3 linked regions of the Drosophila melanogaster genome follow. The protein of the gene in region 2 interacts with the protein of the main gene of each other region in a pairwise test. Each region holds a gene or a part of one and is shown on either strand. Other genes may lie near its edges.

Region 1 (6,619 bases), on a different chromosome or scaffold from region 2:
TTAAAATTAAGAGAGGGATTGGATATTTTCTTTAAGGGAAAGTAGTCTTTAAGAAAGAGATTCTTCAGAAGAATTCTGTTTTGCAATAAACCAAGTGCAAAGCCTTTAAAGCCCTCTCGACGTCCCATAAAATATACATTTTCAATAATTCAAATGGTTAAAAATGTTCCCTTAATAACTTTTTATTTAAGTGAATTGTATAATCTAAAGTTTATTTTAAATCCGTTCTTTCTGCATTTCCATTGATTTATTGGTTTCTCACTTTAACAACTTAGCCGTGGATAAAGTGGATCCCCAACTGTAGGACTTGGTAAAGACGCTGAAATAAAGACAGAAAAGGAAACCAATGTACGGTGTCGATTAAATAGAGATTCACCATTAACCAGTCTGGCTAGGTTGAGGCCTAGTTCGTGACCGTGATGCAATTGCAGGATTGGTAACACCAAATCCGACTAACCAGTTGTTGGCCAACTTACTTTTCGCGCAAATACTGCAGCACTTCCTGTTCGTGGGAAGTGAGACCGTCGAAGATCGCGTCCAGGTTAATCCGCAGCAGCTTTCGGTTGGGGATGCCGATGAGGAAGGTGGCCGCCCCATCCAGTTGCATCGTATAGTACATGGCCAGCTTTCCCAGCTCCACGTTCCTCTGCTGGCAGATTTCGGCCCCCCGTTTGGCCACGGCCAGGATTTCCTGACTACCGGGATGCGATGCATGTGGTCCAGCGTTTCTCAAGAGTCCCAATGAGTGAGCGGCCGCACAGACAACGCCCACTCCCATTTTCTGGAAGTCCTTCATGTAGCGCAGCAAGGTGTTGTCTAAAAGGGTGTAACGAGCATAGTTGAGCACCACCTGAATGCGACCCTTGCCCCGCTCGGCACACTCCTTCAGCACGTCCACATCGTAGGCGGTGACTCCGATGAATCGAGCCTTTCCCGCCTGGACGTACTCCTCGAGGACGGGTATGGTCTCATTCAGCACTATGTCTAGATTGGGTGCCGCGTCCACGTCATGAACCTGTCATAAGGGCCATATTAGTTCACCAGCTTATAGACGAATCTACCAAACCCACCTGTAGTATGTCCACCCTGTCCAACTGGAGCCGCTCCAGACTCCGCTTCACACTCTCCCGAGCTTTGTCAGCCGAATAGTCAAACATATTCTTCGGATCCAGCCCGTAGCGCGCCACTTTAGTGGCAATATAATAGGCCTCCCGGGGTACATCCTTTAGGGCCTGGCCAAGCAGCACCTCCGATAGAATGGAGCTGTGTCTATATAGTTAATGCCAGATCTAATGGCCTCCTGCACCATAAGGATGCCCTCCTCGCGATCATAGTCATCAAAGAAGAGATTGCAAAGGGGGGAGCCACCTATAGCTAATTTAGACACGTGCAGACCCGTGGATCCGAGTTGGCGGTACTCCATACGACGCACCTTCTCCTCATCGTGGAAACCCTTGACGAAAGTAGCTGGCAGTGATCCCGACATCCTTTTCTGTTCAACTAACAAGTTTGAATGAAAGGAACAACTAAAAAAATCGGGCTTTTATATGATTTGGGGACCAGGTTTTCAGATAAGAACTGTGGGGGTAAATAAGTAATTTTTCACTTTGTTTGAGTGAGTTCCGTAATATAATTGCCCCGATTAGCAAGATTTTCTTATTGATAAGGTGTGGAAGAGAATTCCGGCTCTTTGTTCGCATTATCAACTTAGCTCTCAAACAGTACGATTCTGAAAATCATATTATTGTATATCAGCCACATTTTTTAAGAGAAAAGCGAGCCATAGTTGCAACAACTAGTTGTAGCGATACAATGGGATTTTTGCGGCTTTTTTTCAGTGCCTGTCTAAGGAGCTCTTCAGAGTTAGTGCCAGATTTTTGTTTCGAAATCAAAGCTAAAAAAGAAAATATATTAACTTCTAAATTGCACAACATTTTTATAATATTTTATAAATATAAGTCAAGGCAGCTCACATAAATTGGCCTTGCCCTATATTATTGAATACATAATCGCAACTTCATCCAAAATTTCTAGAACTTTCTGTTTTTTTGTTTTCATTCGAATATATTGCGCGGTCTGTTGAAATTCGATCGGCAGTCAGAGAAGTACTGCCTGCTTAATATTATAAATATAACTTATATTCTGAACAACACAGATTGCCTCTTATCAAAGAGAGAATAGTTCTGTATCGGAGCGGTTTTAACGTGTTTGAACAAATCTTTTATTATCTCTTCTCGAATTAAAATTAAGAGAGGGAGTGGATTTTTTTAAGGGAAAGTAGTCTTAAATGAAAAGCCTCTTCAGAAGTATTCTGTTTTGCAATAAACGGTAGTCGCTTTTGAGAGGCTTTCTTCTCTTGCCTTTCTCATTGGATCTTTTGAGGCAAAGAAAACAAATATTAATCAGCTGAATCAAAGCTGTGTTTGATTATTATCTGTAATCTTAAATGACCTGAACTGTTGGCCCAACTGAACTTGATCTTATCTGGGAATAACTTAATCATAAATTTGCATAAAGTTTGCTTTAGGCCGACTGTTATAAAAAATAAATAGGTTCAAAAATATTCATTTAATATTTTATTTCAGTGAATATTATAATCTAAAGTTTATTTTAAATCCGTTCTCCCTGCATTACCAAAGATTTCTTGGTCTTGGAGCTCAAGTTCGATTGCCCGTCCAAGTGGTCGCTCATTTGAACATGTTAACCGTGGATAAAGTGGAGCCCCAACTGTAGGACTTGGTAAAAACGCTGAAACGAAGACAGAAAAGGAAACCAATGTATTGTAGCGATTGGAATGGAGATTTAACGCTAGCAGTCTGCTCTGGATCGAGCTACCATTAACCAGTTTGGCCAGGCCGAGGCCAAGTTCGTGCCCGTGATGCAATAGCAGGATTGGTAACACCAAATCCGACTTGCACAGTTCGGCGTAACCAGTTGTTGGCCAACTTACTTTTCGCGCAGATACTGCAGCACTTCCTGTTCGTGGGAAGTGAGACCGTCGAAGATCGCGTCCAAGTTAATCCGCAGCAGCTTTCGGTTGGGGATACCGATGAGGAAGGTGGCCGCCCCATCCAGTTGCATTGTATAGTACATGGCCAGCTTTCCAAGCTCAACGTTCCTCTTCTGACAGATTTCGGCTCCCCGTTTGCCCACAGCTAGGAGTTCCGGACTACCAGGATGCCAGGACTGGGGTCCAGCGTTGCTTAGGAGTCCCAGAGAGTGCGCGGCCGCACAGACAACGCCCACGCCCATCTCCTGGAAGGCCTTCATGTGGCGCAGCAAAGTGTTGTCCAACAGGGTGTAGCGGGCATAGTTGAGCACCACCTGGATGCGACCTTTGCCCCGCTCGGCACACTCCTTCAGCACGTCCACATCGTAGGCGGTGACTCCGATGAATCGAGCCTTTCCCGCCTGGACGTACTCCTCGAGGACGGGTATGGTCTCATTCAGCACCATGTCCAGACTAGGTGCCGCATCCACGTCATGAACCTGTCACAAGGTGTTAGTTTATAGACAAATCTATATATTGGTATACCAAACACACCTGTAGTACGTCCACCCTGTCCAACTGGAGCAGCTCCAGACTACGCTTCACACTCTCCCGAGCCTTGGCAGCCGTATAGTCGAACATATTGTTTGGATCCAACTCGTAACGTGCAACTTTAGTTGCTATATAATAGGCCTCCCGGGGCACATCCTTGAGCGCCTGGCCAAGCAGCTCTTCCGATTTGCCTTGGCCATAAAAGGGAGCCGTGTCTATGTAGTTGATACCGGATCTAATGGCTTCCTGCACCGTGAGGATGCCCTCCTCGCGATCGAAGTCATCGGAGAAGAGCTTGGAGAGAGTGGCACCACCCAAAGCAATTTTGGATACTCGCAGACCCGTGGATCCGAGTTGGCGGTACTCCATACGACGCACCTTCTCCTCATCGTGGAAACCCTTGACGAAAGTAGCTGGCAGTGATCCCGACATCCTTTTCGCTTCAATTAACAAGCTTGAATGAATAGAACTCCTAGAAAAATGGCACTTTATAAGTGCATAAAGTGATTTTAACATATGTAGGTATGAGTGAGTTCCAAAATAGATTTGCCTCCCTTAGCAAGCTTCTCTTCGTGATAAGCTGTGGAAGAGAAGGTTCGCTCTTAGTTCTTTATATATATTACTATGTAATTTCGCATTATTAATGTAGCTCTCTGTAAGAATGATTCTAAAAATTGTGATATCATATACCAACCACATTTTTTAAAGAGAAAACCAATTCCCAATTAAGGTAATTCCTTTTAATACCTTGCATGTGAACAATAAGCATAACTCCGATCATGTTTGTTTTAATACTATTTATTTTATTTATCAGAGGAGATTCTGAGCTTTTTGCGGCTTCCAATCAGTTGACAAATCGTTAAGAGTAAATATAAATATCTGCTTTATATATCAATATGCATGAGATGGGGACGAGCACCGCTCAGAAGAAGACATCGAAATCGCCCTGTGGCTGATAGCCAGCTCCGGGCGGGATCAGCTGGGGTCGCTGCTGTTGCTGGCGCTGTGGGCGTGGCACGATGATGTCGTTGATCTCATGGAGAATTCCATTGGTGGCCACCACATCGCACTTGGTGACGCCGGCGTTCTCGATCTTGGGACGACGATCGCGGGTGATACGCAGATGCTGGCCAGAGATGGACTCGATGGAGCGGACAAATGGCCAGTTGGTTGGGATAATGCCGGCACAGCAGACAACATCCTCAACGATATGGGTTTTGACCAAGGCCATGGGATCGGCGGGCTTTGAACCCTCACCGGACTCGTTCAGCTCCTCGAAGATATCGTTCTTTGGCACCAGCAGGGTGAGACTCCTCGAATCGTTGGACAGCAGCTGTGTAAGATTAGCCTTACGAACCAGCTCCAGGAACTTGCTGTAGTTGGGATTAGCCTCCAGCAGCTTAAGCATGTTCTGTGGAATATTTACAAATAAGCATAAGCTTTAAATTCCGTGATAACCTCGTAGAACTCACATTCTTGGGAGGCGCCAAGGCACGATCCACCTGGTGGAGAACGGATCCGCAGCTCTCGTCATCGAAGTGCACCAAACGGGCACAGTTTACCGTTGCCCGGTTCATCACGTCCGAGAAGAGAGCATGGGTGGAGTACAGGTTCAGACGCACACTAGATCCAGCAACCGTGGGCAGGGACTTCTCCGACAGGTCACAGGTCTTGATCATGGGCTTGACCACATGGTAGTTAAGGAACTCCAGCAGATCCAAGTTATGATTCAGCAGCTCCGGCTGTTCCTTGAGCATGCGAGCCCATTCCGTATTCTGCAGAGCCTTGTCAGTTGGTGCAAAGATGGTCACGTTGTCCAGATCGTCGAACTGATCATCGTAGCCGGAGGCCTCCAGCAATCGCTGGAAGATGGTCAGGTTCTTTTGCGACATCAGCGAGGTCATGGGCAGAGCCGATTCGGTGGGCAGGATGGTGTCGATTACGTGCAGCACACCATTGGTGCCCATGATATCGGCATCAATGATTTTGGCCAAGTTATTGATGTAGATGGGAGTCGGTCCAGTCTGATTCGCAGCGCGGTGGGTTCGGTTGAGGAGCAGGGGTTCTCCCAGTAGATTGTAGGCCGTCGTCTTGGCACCCGGAACAGTGGCCAGCGAGCAGAAGGTGAGGTCCAGCAAATGGTTCTTCAGGATGTCTACCGGATAAATGGGAATCATATTATATTAGTTAGTTAGCTGCTTGTGGATAAGTTTCCAGACCAACTCACTGGAGGCACAACCGCGACCTTCCTTGAGGGCTCGACGCAGATGAGGTTCCAACTTGTCGAAGGCGGCATCGGTGGGCACAAAGATGGTCACTGGCTTGTCATCCTCTAGCATGGCGCTCAGGTTGGTCTTCTCCAGAACGGTGCGCATAATGGACATATCCGCACGCTCCCTGATGATATCCATAAGGTTCTTGGTCAGCGGCTTCAGGACTCCGCCCAGAGTGTGGACAAGGGCCTGCTCCGAGAGCTTGTCGTGCTTCTCGATGGGCACACAGTTGGCGGCAAAGCGGTAGGGTTCCAGGCCCAAAGCCGCAGGCAGCTGGTAGCTGTTGATGCGGATCTTCTGGTCAGGCAGCTCCGTCTGCAGAAGCTTCTCATTGGGCACATCCTCCAGCTGAACTTCGCCGAGAACAGCGTGCAGTTTGTAGATGGATGGCTTGGAAGCCTCGGCCTTGGCATCTTCCACATTCTGTTGTACGCAAAGAATTCTCATTTATTTACATGAATTTTAGTAACCAAAGGCATGCTCACATTCTCCTGCTGATGATGACCACGGTACTCCATGAAGGCGGCGTCGTTGGGCACGAAGAGGGTCACCTTCTTGCCACTGCCTGCTCCGAGCATATCGGCCAGCTCACCGGCGGTGCGTGCACTCTCCAGGAACTGCTTGGCACCCATGTCACTGGCCGTGGCCTCCACGTCCTTGATGTCGATCTTCTCGCAGGGCGTTGTGAAGTCAGCGTTTCTGGGGCGTCCATATCCATAGCAGCACTGGCGGGTCAGCGTCAGCGTTTTCTTCTTGCCATTTTGATTCACGCTGCAGGGGATAAAGTGTTCAATCAATTGGATGA
Region 2 (10,871 bases):
AGACGCTCGCAAGGATCGCAAGCTGGGACGCAAGCGGGATCGCGTCGACGAGTCCAACAGCAACGAACATAAACGCCGGCGCGAAGGTGAGAGAATAGTCATTTATCGGATAGTCAAGACATTCAAAAGCCAACGATTTACAGGACAAAACGGTGAAGAAGAGCTGCGGGATAGAGAGCGGCATAGGGTGAGTGATATATCCCAATAGTCGACAACATTCCCAAGTTCTGGAATTGCGTACTGGAATTACAACTAATGTGGTTGCCAATCCATAGGAGAAGTCACCGCGGGAGCGATCACATGAAAAGTTCGATAGAGAAAGAGGAGGAGCCAGCGGTTCGCGGGCCGAGGAGCGGCAGTACATCAGCAAGTCCGCTCGGTCCTCCAGAGTCAACTATTGATTGCACTCCGGGCTTTTGCTTGCCCGTTCCGTGCATTGTGAAGCGCATTTTGTTTAACTTTTAAAGAATTTGGAATGGCCTTTCCATCCATTGTAGCAAAGAACGAAACTACTTTTGAAATGTTTACAAGTTTTAGTGACTATTTTAAAACAGAGATCCAAACAATTACATTGTAAAAATGACTACATTTTTGTGTTGTTTACTAAACGGGAACTGTAATAGCCATAATATTTGTATAAAAAGTTCATTCCCCAAATAGATGTTCAGATTGTCTTTAAAACAAATAATAAATTGTTCATTTGCAATGAGATTAAGATGTAAACCCTTCGTGTTATTTATTTATCACCCAAGCGACAGTGAAACACCAGCTTTCTATTTCGAATCAAATTTTATTCAATTTAAATTATTTTTACATTTAACAGTTGAACTTGAGGTTTAATCTCGATTTAAAACACGCATATCAGATATCTAAACAAGCTTGCCACTAACGTTTTTTACAACTCTTTCCATTATTTTAAATAGACTTTTCTTTTACTTTGAAAGTGTTCCTGAGGTCTTTTTAGGTAGGTACCGTTGTTGATTCGATTCGATTCGATTCCACAGTGATGAGAGAACTAGGCGAATTGTTTATCTTGATTTTTATTAAATAAAATATTAACAATTCGGTGCTGTGGCCCGTGTTCACTTCATTTGTTTTAGTTGTTGCTTTTGGCGCCTAAACTTGAACTTTGACTTTAGCAAAAGTAAAGCACATAAATAATAAAATAATATCAAAAATTGATTTAGTTCTGTGGCTGATCCTCCGGCGCTGGCAGCTTCTCCCAGGTGGGCTCCACTCCCCAAATCTCGCGGGCGTACTCGGCGATGGTGCGATCCGACGAGAATTTGCCGCTGGACGCAATGTTGTTGATGGACATCTCCAGCCACTTGGCTTGGTTCTGCAAATTAGGCAAAAGTATCGTGGTTTAAATAATGATCTTTGCTACTTATTTTTCTAATACATAGTTAAGCTATCGAATCTCACCTGGTAGGTCTTGGAGACCAGATCCTGGGCCTTGATGTACGCATCGTAGTCGGCCAGCAAGTAGTAGTGGTCGTACTTAAGCAGAATGTCGGCAATGTTCTTGAACTCGTTGGGATTGCCGGGGCTGAAGAATCCGCCCTGGATTTGGTCAATCACCTGCTTGACCTCGGGGTTGGCGTTGTAGTAGTCGTAGGCATTGTAGCCCTTCTTCTTGAGCGCCTCCACCTCGTCGACGGTCATGCCGAAGATAAAGATGTTGTCCAGACCCATCTCCTCGGCCATCTCAACGTTGGCACCGTCCAGGGTGCCGATGGTGAGGGCGCCGTTAAGCTGGAACTTCATGTTGCCGGTACCAGAGGCCTCTGTGCCGGCGGTCGAGATCTGCTCGGACAGATCGGCGGCGGGCATAATCTTCTCGGCCAGGGTGACACGGTAGTTCTCCAGGAAGATAACCTTGAGCTTATCGCCCACAATGGGATCGTTGTTCACAACGTTGCCCACGGCGCAGATGAGCTTGATGATCTGCTTGGCCACATAGTAGCCCGGAGCAGCCTTGCCTCCGATCATGATTGTCCTCGGGGTGAAGTTGGCTGTGGGATCCTTCTTGATCCTGTTGTACAGGGTGATGATGTGCAGGCAGTTCAGCAGCTGGCGCTTGTACTCGTGAATACGTTTCACCTGAATGTCGAACATGGAAGAGGGGTTGATCTTAACGCCGTAGTCCTTCTCCAGAATGGCGGCCAGCTTCAGCTTGTTCTCCTGCTTGACGCGGGCTACATTGCGCTGGAAGTTGGGGTCCTTTGCCCACTTCTTCAGAGCAACCAGTTGGTCCAGATGCACTGGCCACTCGTCGCCGATCTTCTCGGCGATCAGGTCGGAGAGTCCGGGATTGCAGAGCAGCAACCAACGACGCGGGGTAATACCGTTCGTCTTGTTCTGGAACTTCTGGGGCTCCATTTCGTAGAAGTCATGGAACAGCGAGTCCTTTAGGATCTGCGAGTGGATGGCGGCCACACCGTTGACGGCGTGGGAGCCGACGATGGACAGATGAGCCATGTTGATGCGCTTCTCGCCATCCTCCTCCACCATCGACATGCGGCGCATGCGGTCCAAATCGTCGGGGAACTTCTTCTTCACATTCTCCATGTGCAGGAAGTTGATGTGATAGATGATTTGCAGATGGCGGGGCAGGATCGACTCCAGCAGGGAGACGGGCCAGCGCTCCAGGGCCTCTGGGAGCACGGTGTGGTTGGTGTACGCGCAACTCCTGACGGTGATGTCCCATGCCTTCTCCCAGGTCAGATGCTCCTCATCGACCAGGATGCGCATCAGCTCAGGGATGGCCAGCGATGGATGGGTATCGTTCAGCTGAATGGCCACCTTGTCGGGGAAGTGATCGAAGGTGTTGCGGACCGCCTCCCGGGATCCGAACTTCGAGGCCTTGTAGCGGCGGATGATATCCTGCAGCGTGGCGGCGCACATGAAGTATTCCTGCTTCAGACGCAGCTCCTTGCCCTCGAAGAAGTTGTCGTTGGGGTACAGGACACGTGAGATGTTCTCAGCCAGATTGCGGTCCAGCACGGCCTGGATGTAGTCACCATCGTTGACTGGATAGGTGAAGATAGCCATAGGTTAGTTCTTGCCTTATCAAGGGGACCTCTCCTTATAGATACTTACAGAACTTGAGGTTGAAGTCGATGGGCGACTTGGCGGACCACAGACGCAGCGTGTTTACGTGGTTGTTGTTGTATCCGGGAATGGGGTTGTCGTAGGGCATGGCAAACACCCTTTGGGTGTCCACCCACTTCTTGCCCTCGGGCGTGTCGATCACACGGCCGTAGAAGTTGACCGGCAGCATGAACTCCGGACGAGCCTTCTCCCAGGGATTGCCATAACGCAGCCAATCATCGGGCTCCTCCACCTGCTCGCCGTTCTTGATCTTCTGGGCGAAGATACCGTACTCATAACGGATGCCATAGCCATAGGCGGCCAGACCCAGAGTGGCCATCGAGTCGAGGAAACAGGCGGCCAAACGACCCAGACCACCATTGCCCAGACCGGCGTCCTCCTCCATCTCCTCCAGGTTCTCGATATCCAGACCCAACTGGTACATGGCCTCCTCGCACTCGCTCTGGATTCCCAGGTTGATCATGGTGTTGGTCAGTGAGCGACCCATGTAGTACTCCAGCGACAGATAGTAGACGCGCTAAAAAAATACAGGGGTCGTTATTAGATCTATTGTATCCATGATTAATTAGCAACTATATTGGAAGATCGAAATGTCATAAGATTATTTCATGAGTTGGATTCAGATTTCGTGCATTTCCGCAGTGCATGGGTCACTCACACCAGGTTCAGCTGTACAGTGCATACAATAACTATAATACAACGAAAGCCTGATAAGAGGGGCGCCGACTGCGGCTGAAAGACCTAGTTATGTTTGGCCAGAAGGTCAACCAGTTTCCAACTTTTACGGTTCCCAACGGAATACTCGCTTATCAGCGAAAAATCGCACGGTAATTTCAGGGCAACCCAACTGGAAACTATAAATAGAGGAAGGCATTCACTATCACCGGTTCGATTCAGTGCGAATCTATCGATCGATGTTACGAGGGCATTAATTGGGTTTATAGCAACGCTATCAAGCGATTGCAGGCTGCACTTTGCATGCTGGGCAAACATCATGGCTAAGCATGAATCTATACAGCTTGGAATGGCGATTATTATCACCAGCCAATGCTGGGCTAATCATGGATCGATCACGGATCAGCAATCACCAATCAGCATTGACGACAACATCGCCCACAGTGTCGCCAGTCAGTAGCTAATGGCTCCCAGGGTATGCTAATCCTATCCCTTATCAGTCAACCTACCTATGTAATCTATGCCCTAAAACGCATACCTATCGCACATGATGCTTTCAGATGTCTGATGCTATGCGATCCGGGAAAAAAACTATAGCTAATTAGTTCGGAATGTTTGGAGAGCTTGTTTTTGTGTGCATATTTGTAGGTGAAAGGGGTTAAGGCGCCTATATAGAATCGGGGACTTTCGATTAGGAATATTTTGCAGTCCATTTAGCAGATAAGATATACAGAATTAGGTGAACATGGAGTATGAACTGATTCGGGCAATATGTGCTGGGCAATGGAAATGCTGTGATAAAACACATTATTGTTTATATCTATATAGGTATACCAAAATATGAACTATAAAAGTAGGTATTTTCTTAGTTATGAAATATGAGGTGCACTCAGTAAATACTGAGTTGGAAAAAATCCAAATATTAAAACCAATTCTAAGCATGATCTTCTTTGCTGCAGAAAAAAAAAGAAGCTAATAACCTATTTAGCTTATCTAATCGAAGATAAGAGCTTCACAACAAAACGTGAGTAATCTTCCAGATCCATAAAAAGCTTTTGGAGTCATTCAACTGCCGGCGCTAATGTTTTCCACAGCAGTTTGTTGTGTAGGGTCTTTGATATTCGTTCTGGCCAGTTCTACAGACGAATTAGATGCCAGACATATGTTTTTTGCGGTTTTGATAAAGAGCGCCTCACCAACAAACGACCAGTGTTTGTTTGCCTTTGTTTATTGGTTTTTTTTCCCTATATGCAATAAATAAATGACAGATGTGCATAGGAAGTTGGAAATGCAATAGGTAGTGGCGCCCTGGCATTGAATTTTTACATGATCGGTGATAGCTAAACGCTTTTAATTTGGTGATAAGTGGAACAGTATTTTCGAACTGCTTGTGGAAAACTACAGGGAAATAAACTCTTTTGTGTGACTATTCACCCCGCTGAACTTTCTTCAATTTGCATAAATTGGTTTAGAGACCGATGGACGCCAAGTTGTCTTCAATTAACTCTAAGTACCAATCCACGCACAACAACAGCTGTTTAAGTATCCATAAGATACAATCGTCGTCAGTTCATATATTTCTATTTAGATGGTTGCGTGAGCTAATTGCATGTGGGGGGACAACTAAACAAAATCGGGCCTATAAAAGTTCCACAACCTGAAAGAACTTATATATACATACGTACATATATATATATTTGAGAACGAACAAAAACCGAAATGGTAGCCAAAATAAAAATGAGAGAGGAAAAATGGGGGAAATTTTCCTTGATATTTTTGTCAGTTGGTTGTTGTTAATAACCTTTGATTGACCTTGAAAAAATGTGTGCCGACGCCGTGACGGTATCCACAATTTAGTTGAATTGAAAATATTTATCACCCAAAAGTGTATATAGCTCGAACTTCTAGTCGCCAAAATTGCTCGAGTCAATGGAAAATTAATAGATACATTTTGGTGGGCTTGAAATTGAAAGTGATTTAAGCTGACATTCAGCAAGGACAAAAATGTTTAGCAGCCGATGCTGACAAATTTGCAAATGGAAAGCTCACGCTTTGGGCACGTGTTTGGATACATGTACATATGTATGTATATACATATATTGTGTATCTGATGGATGTGGCTAAAAGGGGGCACTTATTATGCACCCTTGCCCTACTTAAACTGCATCGCCATGGCCCCAGGAAAACTTATTACTAAAAACTCATCAATATGTTTGGATAGAGCTACTTCTATAGTAGCTCGGCGACAGCTGCTAAATGCAGAGCTATTTTTAAGCTTTTGTTGCTTCGTCAGCTGGCGGGGAAAATTGTCAAGTGGGCGCGTAAAAAGGGGGTGGCTGATAAATTCGCCGGCTTTTTGCAGCACCTCTGCAATTTGTTGCAGTGAAAGTGTCACACCTTTTTTTGGCGCTACTTCTTTGGCATTGATCCCATTGCAGTCTTTGCTTTTTGGCAATTTCGCGAATAATTAAATGAAACGAAACAATTATGTAGTAGCAAAACAACGAAAGCGTGGGAAATGCAGTAAAAGCCGAAATTTCAAATAAACAGTGAGCATTCGGAAATTTTTAGAATTTTAGAAAATAAGGATTAAAATAGGATTATGAAATGTTGCATGGAATATTCATTTATAATAATAAAAGACATAGTGGAAATACTTGGGATAAAAGCAAAACTGCTTCAGTTATTTATGAATACGTTTATCGTTTCCCATTTAATTTTTAGTTTTTTTTTTGGCTGAGTGTTCACTGTAAATTCGTTGGCCAAAGCGCATCGGGGAATAAATCAGCAGCGAATAAAAGAGAATGGAGCAGGCCGAAAAAAATGTCGTAATAGCCAAAGAAATTTAGGAAAAAATATTTCAAAGGAAATTATTTCAAAAGTTTTGGTTGCCGCAGGAAGGGATAATCAGGCCTAAGAACTCCAGAGCCCGGATAAAGTTAGGTTAGGTGGTCCGACCACTTCTTTTTGGAAAATTCCACGGACTAAATCAATAAGTGGGTGGCCTGGATGGGCGCGGAACTCACCTTGGGATCCTTCTCGTAGTAGTGCTGCTGCGTGCGAATCCAGCGGCCCACCATGTTGTCCTTGACGGTGTTGGCCAGGGCGAAGTAGTAGTCCCTCAGGGTGGACACATTGCGATCCTTGACCAGGGTGTAGTGCAGGTGGCGATTGAAGTTCTTCTTCACTTCGGTGACATTGCCCACCTCGGCGATCCCGCGCACCGAGATCTGTTTGCGCCGATCGGCGTCGGATTGGGGCTTCGACATGGTGTCCTAGTTATGTATGTCCCTTCTCTGTGGCGGCTCTATATAGTTCTCTGATTCCGTTGCGTGGGTGCGCGTGTGTGTGTGGCGTAGACCCGTTTGCGTGTGCGACAGCGAAGAGGAGACGGAGACTATAGACACAACCCAGACCTGAACCTGAACAGACGACCGTTCGCAGCAAAATCCGGAGCGATTCTCACTTTATACTTTCGGCATACTTTCGGAGATAGCTTTTGCGCCAGAGCTTTTCTCTCAGCGTGCTGCTCCCCTTGTAAACAACTCCCAGCGCACAGTGGGTGCGCTGGGTATCAACTGCTACGAATTATCATCTAGGGGATATAATACAACAATATAGGTTGTTTTTTAACTATACAACTAAATATTAAATTTTCGATTTTTATATTAATCATTTAAGAATGAAAATTTTGTATATTTCAATAACAGATAATAACTTTTATCAGTATATTTTGACCATATCGCCCACTGTGCGTTGCTGATGCAGCGGTTCTTATCTCGCCGGTGCATTTTGCTGTCTCTCTCGCACTTTAGCTATGCTGTATTCCTGCACTGCTCCCTGTGCTCTCGCTCGCTCACTGCCTCTCTCTCACTGGCGCTCTCTTTTTGCCCCAGTCACCTTGTGCGAAGGTCATACATGCGTATTTGTTGTTTATTTTCTGTTTTTGTTTCATCTTGAGGCATTTGTATGCTTTGGAATAGAACGGGTGGCGCCCCCATGAATCGGGTTTGAGCTTTTTGAACCGACGGCTGTCAAATTGAAGCTTTTAACCATCTGTTGAGTGCGGAGAATCGTGGCGGGCTGGATATTGGAGATGCCAACTTGCTAGGAATTCAAACTTTACCAATCTTATGGATACTTTTGTATCTAAGAGATACTTTTAAAATCTGATGCTTTTGTATCTTACAGATATTTTGTGTTTTATATATCTCTTTGGGTACATTCGTATCTTGAGCTTTAAGATTTACGTACTGATATTCTAAAACAAGCGTTTTCAAAAATGTTGTCACAGAATTGATCTATTTAGAAAGCGCACTGAATATATGTGCTCTGCTGTGCCTCACTCGACTTGTGCAACAAATGCTAATCACAGGACAAAGGGCATCTGCAATTCTATCCGAACAATTCAGTTATTCCATTTCTTGTTTATTACTTCCCATAATGGCACTCCCATGTTCAACTACTTGGGAATGCATGCGGAAAAGTCCTTGAAAGGAGGGTAAAGGGGGGGGGTAACATTGCAAAGGACCAAGGCGCCGCTTGTTTCGTGAGCTCACCATTTGTTCGGCTATTTCGTAGCAAATGAAAATGATTAGCACATTTGGCAGGAGGAAAGTGAGAGCAAACCTTTTGGACATCTGCCAAGTGGGCTGCCATCGAAGTGAACGCCATCATTCATAAGCTTGTCTGCTAAAAATTTAAAACTTAATTGGAATCTGCTGCCTCATTCTGCCAACCGTGCGCTTGTTGACTCCTCGCACATATGTATGCGCTATTCAACTAGTTTTTGTTATGTTTTCTTTTCATTTTTTGTATTCAGCTGCGAGTATTATGAAAAAGTTACACTTAGGCGAAAGAAAAGTTCGCTGAGAGAAATTAGACTGCATTTGCTTGGATCGTTGTGAAATAATATAACGAATGCTGCGAATATTTTTTATAATACAAGTGATTTATCTCAAAATACTTTGTGGAATTCTTAAAACGACGCATTTTACTGATAAGCAGAGTGCTGAGTTCGCAGGGTAAGTTCTAAGTACTCGATTTCATTTTGATTCGAACACTCGTTGCGGAATGTCGCTATACTTTGCGTTTCTCACGACACTGATAATCAGCCTTGTGAATAGTCAATACTTTAACTACAATCAGGTTAGTTTATATAATACTTGTACATAGATATAAAAAATACTGAAATGGAAATACGCATGCAGATACGACGTGAAACATATGGCAGTAATCCCAGAGCGACATTTCCCTGGGTGGTTTCTGTGCTCGACCAGAGGGATTGGCTGTTTCGCTATATAGGAGTGGGATCTCTGATTAATCCAAATGTGGTCCTTACTGCCGCTCATATTCTGAATGGAACAACCAAGTATGATCTGGTGGTGCGAGCTGGCGAATGGGATACCTCGACTACGGCTGACCAGCAGCACGTGGATCTCGAGGTGCTGAATATAGTCTCCCATGAACAGTTCAACAGATTCAATGCCGAAAACAACATGGCGTTACTCATTCTGGTATCCGCATTTGAGATGACAGCCAACATTAATTTAATCCCATTGTACCTACAAGAAGCTGGTATTCAAAAAGGATCCTGCTTCTTCAACGGCTGGGGAAAAGTATATTTGAACTCGACGGACTACCCCACCGTTCTCAAGACGGTCCAGGTCGATCTTTTGAGCATGGGTATGTGTAGCTCTCGAAAGCTGCCCATCCAGCAAATCTGTGGGAAAGGTCTGGAAGGCATAGATTGCAGTGGAGACGGTGGGGCTCCTCTGGTTTGTCGGATACTTACATATCCATATAAGTACGCACAGGTGGGCATTGTGAACTGGTTAAGTCAAAAGCCTGTCGAAAATACATTCATCGTCTTTACGAATGTAGCTGGTCTGCTCCCTTGGATTGACTACCATTTAAGACTTGAAGCGAACTTTCGTCCCAGAAGTTGAAAACTAAAGCCTTAGGCAGTTAGCCAGTTATTTATTAAATCTTTATTCGGAGAATCAGAAAAGAGAGCAAATAGTTATCTGCAGTTATTTCCTAAATAAAATGTGGCCTGTGTCCAATCACAAACATTCTACCACGAAAATTTATATATACATTCTGAGTAAAAATACTATTTCATTATCAACTTAAGTCGCTCAATTCAACATAATCAGTTCAAGAAGTGCTGTGCAAGTATTATTTTATTACTTCGTACCATAAACTTTGTTGCTGCGCAACACGGCGGATGCGCGATGTTCATTGAAAATGCTTTTTATATTCCTAGAAAAATAACTTGTAAATATTGTATTGTGCCTCGTTTTTTCGCCAAGTGTACAACGCAAGCAGAAATAATCTCGGCTAAAAAATCGCATTTAAAAGATGGCAGGTAGCTGAAATCTGGAGAGGTGGCCAGGAGTTTTGTGGGTGAAACGGCGTTCAAAAGTTAAAGTGTTGCCATTTTTCATTTTTTGCACGCTACTTGTTTGTTGTTTTTGGCTTGTTTGTTTGTTTGTCGCTCCACAAAGGCGAGTGTGTGTGTGTGGGAGCAACCAACACAAGCACACGAAACATATGAGAGTTGCGTTTGCCCTGTGAAAAAAAGAGCGATTCGAGTGCTTGTTAGAAAGAGTGCGAGTGCGGTGGGAAAGGGACGCCAGATGGATGGGGCATACGAGTGTTTGCATGTGTGAGTGAGATCCTGAAACTCGTTTTGCCGCTAATTGGATGCTGAAGGTGTCCTCCGCGTGAGTGTGTGTGTGTTTGTATGTGTGTATGGCTGCGGTCATGTATCTGTGTGTGTGACGTCCGGAGTTGAAGTTGCCAAACATCATTAACAGCAGACCGACACGCCCAACGCCCACGAACTTTCACACTTAAACACACATGTATTTGCACCCTGTTTTTCCAAATTAATTCATTGCAAAAGGAAAGCCATATTTTAAATATCTGAATAAATGAATATATTTTAAAATGTGGTGAAAAAAGTGTTTTTTTAGTACATCTGTCTTGTGTTATGTGTATTAACTATTAATTTCTTTTTTGGAATGATAGATTATTTTCTGCAGTGCACCGGCTGTCTGAAGCCGAAAAAGGCGCTG
Region 3 (6,844 bases), on a different chromosome or scaffold from region 2:
CAAAGTGCAGCGGGCGGAATTTGCATTGTGGCAAGTTGCGCGCTTCCATTTAAATGCAATGAATGAGCCGGCGAAACTTTGCTCTTATCTTTGCACCAGGCAATGGGAAATCAAATGAGTCGGTTGGGTGGAATAGTGGCTGCGTCGGAATGGCTGATTCAAATTAAAAGTTACAAAAGAAATGAATTTTAGCCGGGCAAACGAAAATGAGGCCCTTAAATATTTATGATGTGAAGTGGGCGGCGCAAATCAAAGTGTGGACCAAGATTTTCGTTTGATATCAAGTTGGACGGGCTACAAATTTATGCATCGCCAAAATGGGGAAAATAAAGGAGGAAAAACTGAAACTTTTAAATTAAAATCTTTGGACAGTAACAAAGGAAACTCAAGTAATGCATCCATCTTATTTACCGTTTTCCGTATCGGAGCTGGCTGAAAATATGGTTTTTATGTGGTTACAGAGAGATAATTGTAAAAGTTTAATCATAAGGCAGATATTCCTTTTTCTTCAGTTTAGAACTAACCCAAAAAATCCAAATATTATGTAGTTCTGACTTACGTCTGGATCGAGCTGAGCTCTTGCCACTCCCAGCCACGGTTGCCTCCTCCTCGCCCTCCAACTCGCCTTCTACCTCGGCATCTGTGGTTTCACCACCAGTGTTGACCTCTTCGACGGCCTCTTGATCACCACCGGCTGGTGCCGCTGCATCCTGGCCAGCTTTCTTGCGTCCCTTTCCGGCTGCTCCTGCCGATGCACCTGCTTTGCCGGCGGACTTTCCGCCCGCCATCCGGGCATCGCCCTTCTTTTTGCCCTTGCCTTTTTTGTCGGGAACTGTGGGTGGTGGGCGCGGCACCTCCTCCAGCACGGTAATCTCCTCCTCGATGAGTTTGTCGTAGAAGGTGCGCCAGAAGAACAACACCACGAAATCCAAATCGTTTTGGGTCTCGTAACGTCGCTGGAAAAAATTCTCCACGGCAGGCATATTTTTGCTGATCGTTGCATTCACATACTTGGGTTCAAAAACTCCCAGCATATTGGACATAATCGTCTTCAGCCAGACGATACGGGGTTCAACGTTGTTAAGGGACTCTGCCGTGGCATCGGCACTGTCTGAGGTGGATTCAAATTGCGTTTGTGACATGGTGGTCGTCGCTTATTTGAATAGGTTCTTGAAGTTGGGCGGTGGAGTGGGTTTCCGATGTGAGTGGGTTTTGGGTCCCTTGCTTGCTCTCTTTTGGTTGTTTGGCTGCCACGTCGGCGTCTTCGCGCGGCTGAACATCAAACGTTTGCCTTGATTTCGCAGGATTTCTCGTTACAAACAGGATCTCTCGTCCTCCCACTTGGATGCCAACTTGGTGGATGCCCAACCACCTTTCCGTTTTTGTTGTTCTTTCAATCAATTTCAGCTGCCTCGCTGTGCAGTTTGGTTTCGCTTCCGCCACAGAGTGCTGGTGTATTTACTCCCGGGCGTCTGAAAATCCTTTTGTGTATCCCAGGACAACAGTTGCGGCTGCAGCTACGGCAATGGCCAATGCCAGCCGTCTAAAAACCAAATATGGAATGCCTTGAAATGTTGTCTTTGGGCCACACTGTTCAGATATACAGGTACACAATTTGTTAACGGCGTTTGATGAAAGTTATTTCCATTTCCCTGACGAAAATATAGCAGGGCTGCTTTGATTAAAGCTGTCGAATAATAATAACGACGTTGCTTAAATTGTTTATGCTGCTTGTTTTGATTCCATTTCCCGGCTATGTTGCTGGTTGCCTTGACTAGCTGTTGTTAGGGCAACCCAATCCTACCCAACTCAGCCCAGTCCAACTATCCCCAACCCATCCGATTTAATGTAATTTCTGGTACCCCCCTTCCGGTTACCTGTCAGCCGCACTTGCAACATGCAACAGTCGAATAGCAATGCCAGAGCATTGTGGGCCCTTTGAATGCACCAACGCAACACAACACATCCCAACCAATCCCCTGCCAAGTTATAGAGCTCACGCCGTTGCGTAAACAAAACACGCAGCCCTGACTTAATGGCTATGCACATTAGCAACGTGCCAGGGACTTTCCCAGTTGCCAGGTCTCCGGGTCCAGGTCAAGTAGCCCCGTAGCCCCCTTGGCTCCTGGGAAGCGGCGGACGTGGAACGATGGCCACGCTCAATAAGTGTATGGGACCATAAATGGAAATATTTACTCGGCACCGTCAACACGGCAAAGTGAGTTGAGTGAGGCTGTGGGTTAAGTAAGTGCAAGTGCAAAAGTCAACTTTGCCCGGATCTCAAATTGCCTAACAACCGACTGCCAGGCTCTTTGACGACTTCACTTAAAGTGCATGTGCCGTTGCTACCATAAAAGTTGCGCAATCAAACTTCGCAGCCACTTCAATGGGCTTGAGGAATCAGTTCCATGGGATGTCATCGATTTTTCATTAATACCTGGATTTTACCTAATTTCCGCAGGCCTTGAATTTTGATTATCTCGCTAATGTGATTTTTATTTTAGACTGTCTAAGGTACACCGCAAAAAATAAAATAAGATAAGGACATTCTTGTAGATGAGTGCAATCAGTTTACTAGTGTAAATTGTTGGCATACAAAGTGGCATACATATATCATGAAAATGTTCTACTTTCGTCCTGTGGGTGTCTTCCAGGAGAGGCGATTCCTGTGAATGGTCAACCTCGGCTTTTTAAACTGTGCGAGCCCACGGCGATCTTCAATTATCGATGAAGTAGTGTAGAACATGATGTGGTCAACCTTGTAGTACTTCGTCATCCCCATAAATTCTAAAGTGCTTATTATGTCCTCCTCGCGGAAGCCAGTCGCTTTGCTCAGCTCTTCGATGGTCACCAGGTCCGGTGATGAGTGGTGCCTCAGCAGATTGAGGAGGATGTGGCCCCAATAGCTGAGGTAACAAAGTCTGGCAACTTTCGACAGCGGCTTCTTGGGACCTCCGATGCATGCCTCCCTGCGAGAGATCTCGTAGCTCAGATCAATCAACAACTTTCCGTATCCCTTGCGCATATAGGGCGGTAAAACAAGGATGCAATTCAGGTTGATATTCAGCATAGTCTTCTCCCTGGCGAAGTAACCTGCAAAGTGCTCGCCATCCTTGTCCTTCAAACACAGGATATAAAACAAGAACGAACTCGAGCTGTAAAGAATTTTCTTGTTTTCCAGAAAGAGCTTTGACATTAGGCAGAGGCACTGGCAATACAGCTGCTCCTTATGGCCATCGACCTCGTAGATATAAATATTGTCTTTTCGGTATAACAAGCTGCCCGGCGGACACCTCTTCTTGCAATCGTATAGGTGGTAGGAGTAACTTTTCCGCAAGCACATGTATTTTAGGCAGAATTCACAAACGTAAATGGTGGTCGCCTTGTCGTTTATTACAGGATAGGGACTGGAAGACGTGGTCTCGATCTCGTAACGCCCAAATTGCACCTTTTCGATGTTTCTTATGACTTTCACTTTCGCGTCCTCTTTCTCTTTCTGGACATCACTTTTTTCATTATCTATTGTCTCCTGGCGCTGGCGATCATCCACATTGCTACTGGCATTAGTGTGTAATAAAGAAATCATATTAGGTTCCTTGACGCCTTCCAATTGCTTCTTCGGTGTAGCCCCTATTCTTTGAGCTTCGATGCACGATCCAGTAATGGTTTTAGTTTCCTGAATGTTTTTTTGAAGAGATGAATCGTTCTGAAGCTGGGATTTCCCCATTTCGGACTTAGAAGCACTTTGGCCTAAACCGCGAGTCGCGGAGGATTCCTTGGCATTAGTCTGAAGAGTGGCAAAAAAAAAATAAATTATCAGCAGTTTTTCATTCCTCATATGATATTCTTTGACCAGTATTGTTCTTACCAATTGCAGGGCTCTCGGAATGTCCGGCAATTTCGAACTTATCCCGTCCTGATCGCCCAACGGCTGATACTTTAAATGGTCACCTGATCTGTTTTCCTTGTCCATTTGTCAATTCCTATTGCGAATTTCACCCTTTTTAGAAAGCGTGGTTTTTCACTAGTGATGACACATTTAGCTTGATATCGATTAGTGATATCAATAATGAAACGATAAAGTTTGTTGTCAAAAAATCGAATCATCTAAGGAAGCACCAATATCAAAGCATTAAAGTTATTTTTAAATTTTAATTCCAATTTAACTTTCTGAACATATATTGAGCAAAAATATATATTATACAATAAGTTGTATACATTTTTTTCAGTGAGAAAACATTTCGGGATATAATCTCAGTCCTACGCCACACCCTGCTACCTTGATCTATCGAAGACGCCAGTGCAGGGACAACCCGGCTCAATACTAATTAAAATAAATGAACATTTACGTCGTCACAGCAGGTGGATGTGAGGGCGAGAGGCCAGGAGACCGGGCGAAAGATTAGGTGACGAGCCCGGGCCAACGGGAGACATCATTAAAATGCATGGTTCAAACGGTGCGTATACTTAATATAGATTGGATTGAGAGTGTGTGGATGGCGGGATGGGGGGGGGGGGGGGGTTCTAGCAGGATGGAAAGCTCCTGGATGAGTTGGCTCCTTTTGCTACAGCATTCGCTTGCGGTGGCTGTAATCTTTATGCGCCATGTTTTTATTTGTATTTATTATTGCGTTTGCGGAGAGCAGAGTAGCGAAGAGCACACTTTGTTTGCAGGTGAAATATTCCACGCATCCAGCGAAATGAGAATTTATTGACTTCACTCTGCATATGTGCGTGTGTCTGTGTGTGTGTGCCTTTTCTATAAGAGTCTCTGTTTGCGTACACGTAAAAATATTATAGCGATTTGATATATAGCTTTGTGCTGCAAAATATCTATGCGCTGCAGAAATATAAAAATGTCATGTCTCTACTAGAGAATATTACACAAAAATGATTAAAATTATATACATACTTCGAATCTCATTAAAATCAAACACTTTTTATTGCTGTGCTGCTTCGTTTCCGCTTGAAACGTGCCCCCACTGCATATTTATCTACGTCACACAAGTTTGATAAACACAACCATGGCTTCGAGACAACTCGAACGTCTGTTTGCATTTGTGCTTAATAACTTTTAAATGATGCGGGGAATGCCTTTGAAAACGAAGTCAACTGAAAGGAGGTTCCTGGGCCCCGGAGTCATACTCCCTAATTAGAGCCGTAGAGTCGTAGGTGTGTGCAGAACTATTCAAACAGGCCAAAGAAGTCGAGCTAACTTGAAGCTTAAATATTTTTAATAAAAATTCTTTTGTTATTTCGATATGTTTAAAGCACAGCACAGCTTCTTGTTAATGTATATATACATATACAATATTCTAATCCCAGCTTAATTTCACGCCTCCAAGCTTTTTGGTTCCTTGTTATTACTCGATACCATCAGTCTTATAAAAATATTAAGGCCAATGTTTGGGCTGGTAGCTCTGGATCGATACCTATTAGCCCTTGACCTGTACGGTGAAGATAAGCGCTGGGCTCCCAATGGGCTTTGCGAAACGGTTTCCATGGGGCCACGTAGTGTTGGGTGGGTTTGGACGGGCTTTTGTTTAGCCAGCTGAACATTTGGAAAATGGTTACAAACAGTTTTGAATGCCCATAATTGATGCAGGAGGAGCATGCCCAGAGCCCGGCAATCGCACTTCAATATGCATGCCAGTGTGCACTGAATACCCAGTTCCAAGTTACCATCCGGTTGGAATCAAACCAAGTGTGGTCAGGCGTCTCTGCTGGGCTGCCGGATGCAAAGCCGGAATAGTGGTCGGTCGGGTTGCGTTAATTAATAAACTGGGCCTACTTTAAGACGACGCCTGCGTTGGCCAATTGCCATGGCATCCATGCAGTCGGGCAACTAGGCAACTAGGCAGTCGAGCCGTAACCGCAACAACTTCAATGCAGTTTTGTCTGCCACAAAGCCGAATTTCAGTAACTGGCAGAGATTGCATCCTTTGCGGATACTTAACGAGTCGACGCCTGAGGAACGGTCCAATCCCAAACTGATGCCCTCAAAGCCGTATAATTGGCCAGCGATGCGCCATCATCGCCGGCATGGACTCGATCGATTCCTTTGAGCATTAGCCAAATGCCGCATTTTTGAAGTAATAAAGCACAGGTCAATCTCAGTTGTGGTTGCAGCCATATCAAATCGCACGAGTCCACAGGAATTTGGAAGCTATTTGTGCCACTAGCAGTATGTTAATATAACACACAAGTGATGCTCAAAACAGGCTCTTCGTTAGCCAATTCCAGCTGAGTTAATCAACTTTAACTGCACCTTCATATACTAGGGATGCCTTTAGTTGATAAAGGTTTGTTAATTAGATTTTGATTCGTTTGTTGCTTTTCTTTCCCGCGAATTCATTGAACCCAAGTTTTGCAACGACTTGTGTGACCATTTGGCTTGGTTACCCTCGTTCTGAATCATTTGGAATGCCCTTTAGTGCGCAGGCTAATTAACATAGTCTGATTGCTGAGTCAGTTCCATTTACGTCTGTTAAAATCCTTCTGAAAATGGAAAAGTTTTGAGAAAAAATGTAGCGTTGTCTTCAACAATATTATTCAACATTTTAGCCACCACCCAGCCACCTCATTCGCATAAGCAAAGTCAAGTTTTTGGCCAGAGTTGCAAAGTTTTTTGACTGGCTCAAGTTTTATCATATTTTTGCACAGGCAAATCTCAGCGAATAAGTCTCCGTTGCTCCGACTCTCGGTTCAATTTGCATACAGAGTTCGAGCATTATTTTTATTTACCTGATTCAGCGCTGATTTATGATTTTATCGTGAAAAATGCAGAGCTGCGGCGGACGAAGGACTACGAAGACGACAAGGACGTGGACGTGGATGTGGTGGA

Evidence for each region. Proteins that work in one complex are often made in the same cells at the same time.
Region 1: the proteins of Glyp (region 2) and CG3397 interact in a two-hybrid assay, tested with the Drosophila melanogaster proteins (one large-scale study listed by BioGRID).
Region 3: the proteins of Glyp (region 2) and CG1894 interact in a two-hybrid assay, tested with the Drosophila melanogaster proteins (one large-scale study listed by BioGRID).

What each region holds. Positions count from the first base shown.
Region 1 is NT_033777.3:11,980,536-11,987,154, forward strand, and holds CG3397 (uncharacterized protein), read right to left. Parts: upstream 4,007-6,619; 5' UTR 3,974-4,006; coding exon 3,545-3,973; intron 3,490-3,544; coding exon 2,951-3,489; intron 2,749-2,950; coding exon 2,688-2,748; 3' UTR 2,563-2,687; downstream 1-2,562. Other genes in the region: mfas (midline fasciclin), read right to left, coding at 4,464-4,952, 5,014-5,696, 5,769-6,237, 6,300-6,585.
Region 2 is NT_033779.5:2,127,199-2,138,069, reverse strand, and holds Glyp (glycogen phosphorylase), read right to left. Parts: upstream 7,258-10,871; 5' UTR 7,059-7,257; coding exon 6,816-7,058; intron 3,632-6,815; coding exon 3,103-3,631; intron 3,033-3,102; coding exon 1,426-3,032; intron 1,340-1,425; coding exon 1,184-1,339; 3' UTR 774-1,183; downstream 1-773. Other genes in the region: tho2, read left to right, coding at 1-86, 144-187, 276-401; CG4259 (uncharacterized protein), read left to right, coding at 8,863-8,937, 9,000-9,737.
Region 3 is NT_033777.3:28,481,781-28,488,624, reverse strand, and holds CG1894 (uncharacterized protein), read right to left. Parts: upstream 4,069-6,844; 5' UTR 3,974-4,068; coding exon 3,869-3,973; intron 3,788-3,868; coding exon 2,627-3,787; 3' UTR 2,563-2,626; downstream 1-2,562. Other genes in the region: Dhc98D (dynein heavy chain at 89D), read right to left, coding at 412-432, 560-1,142.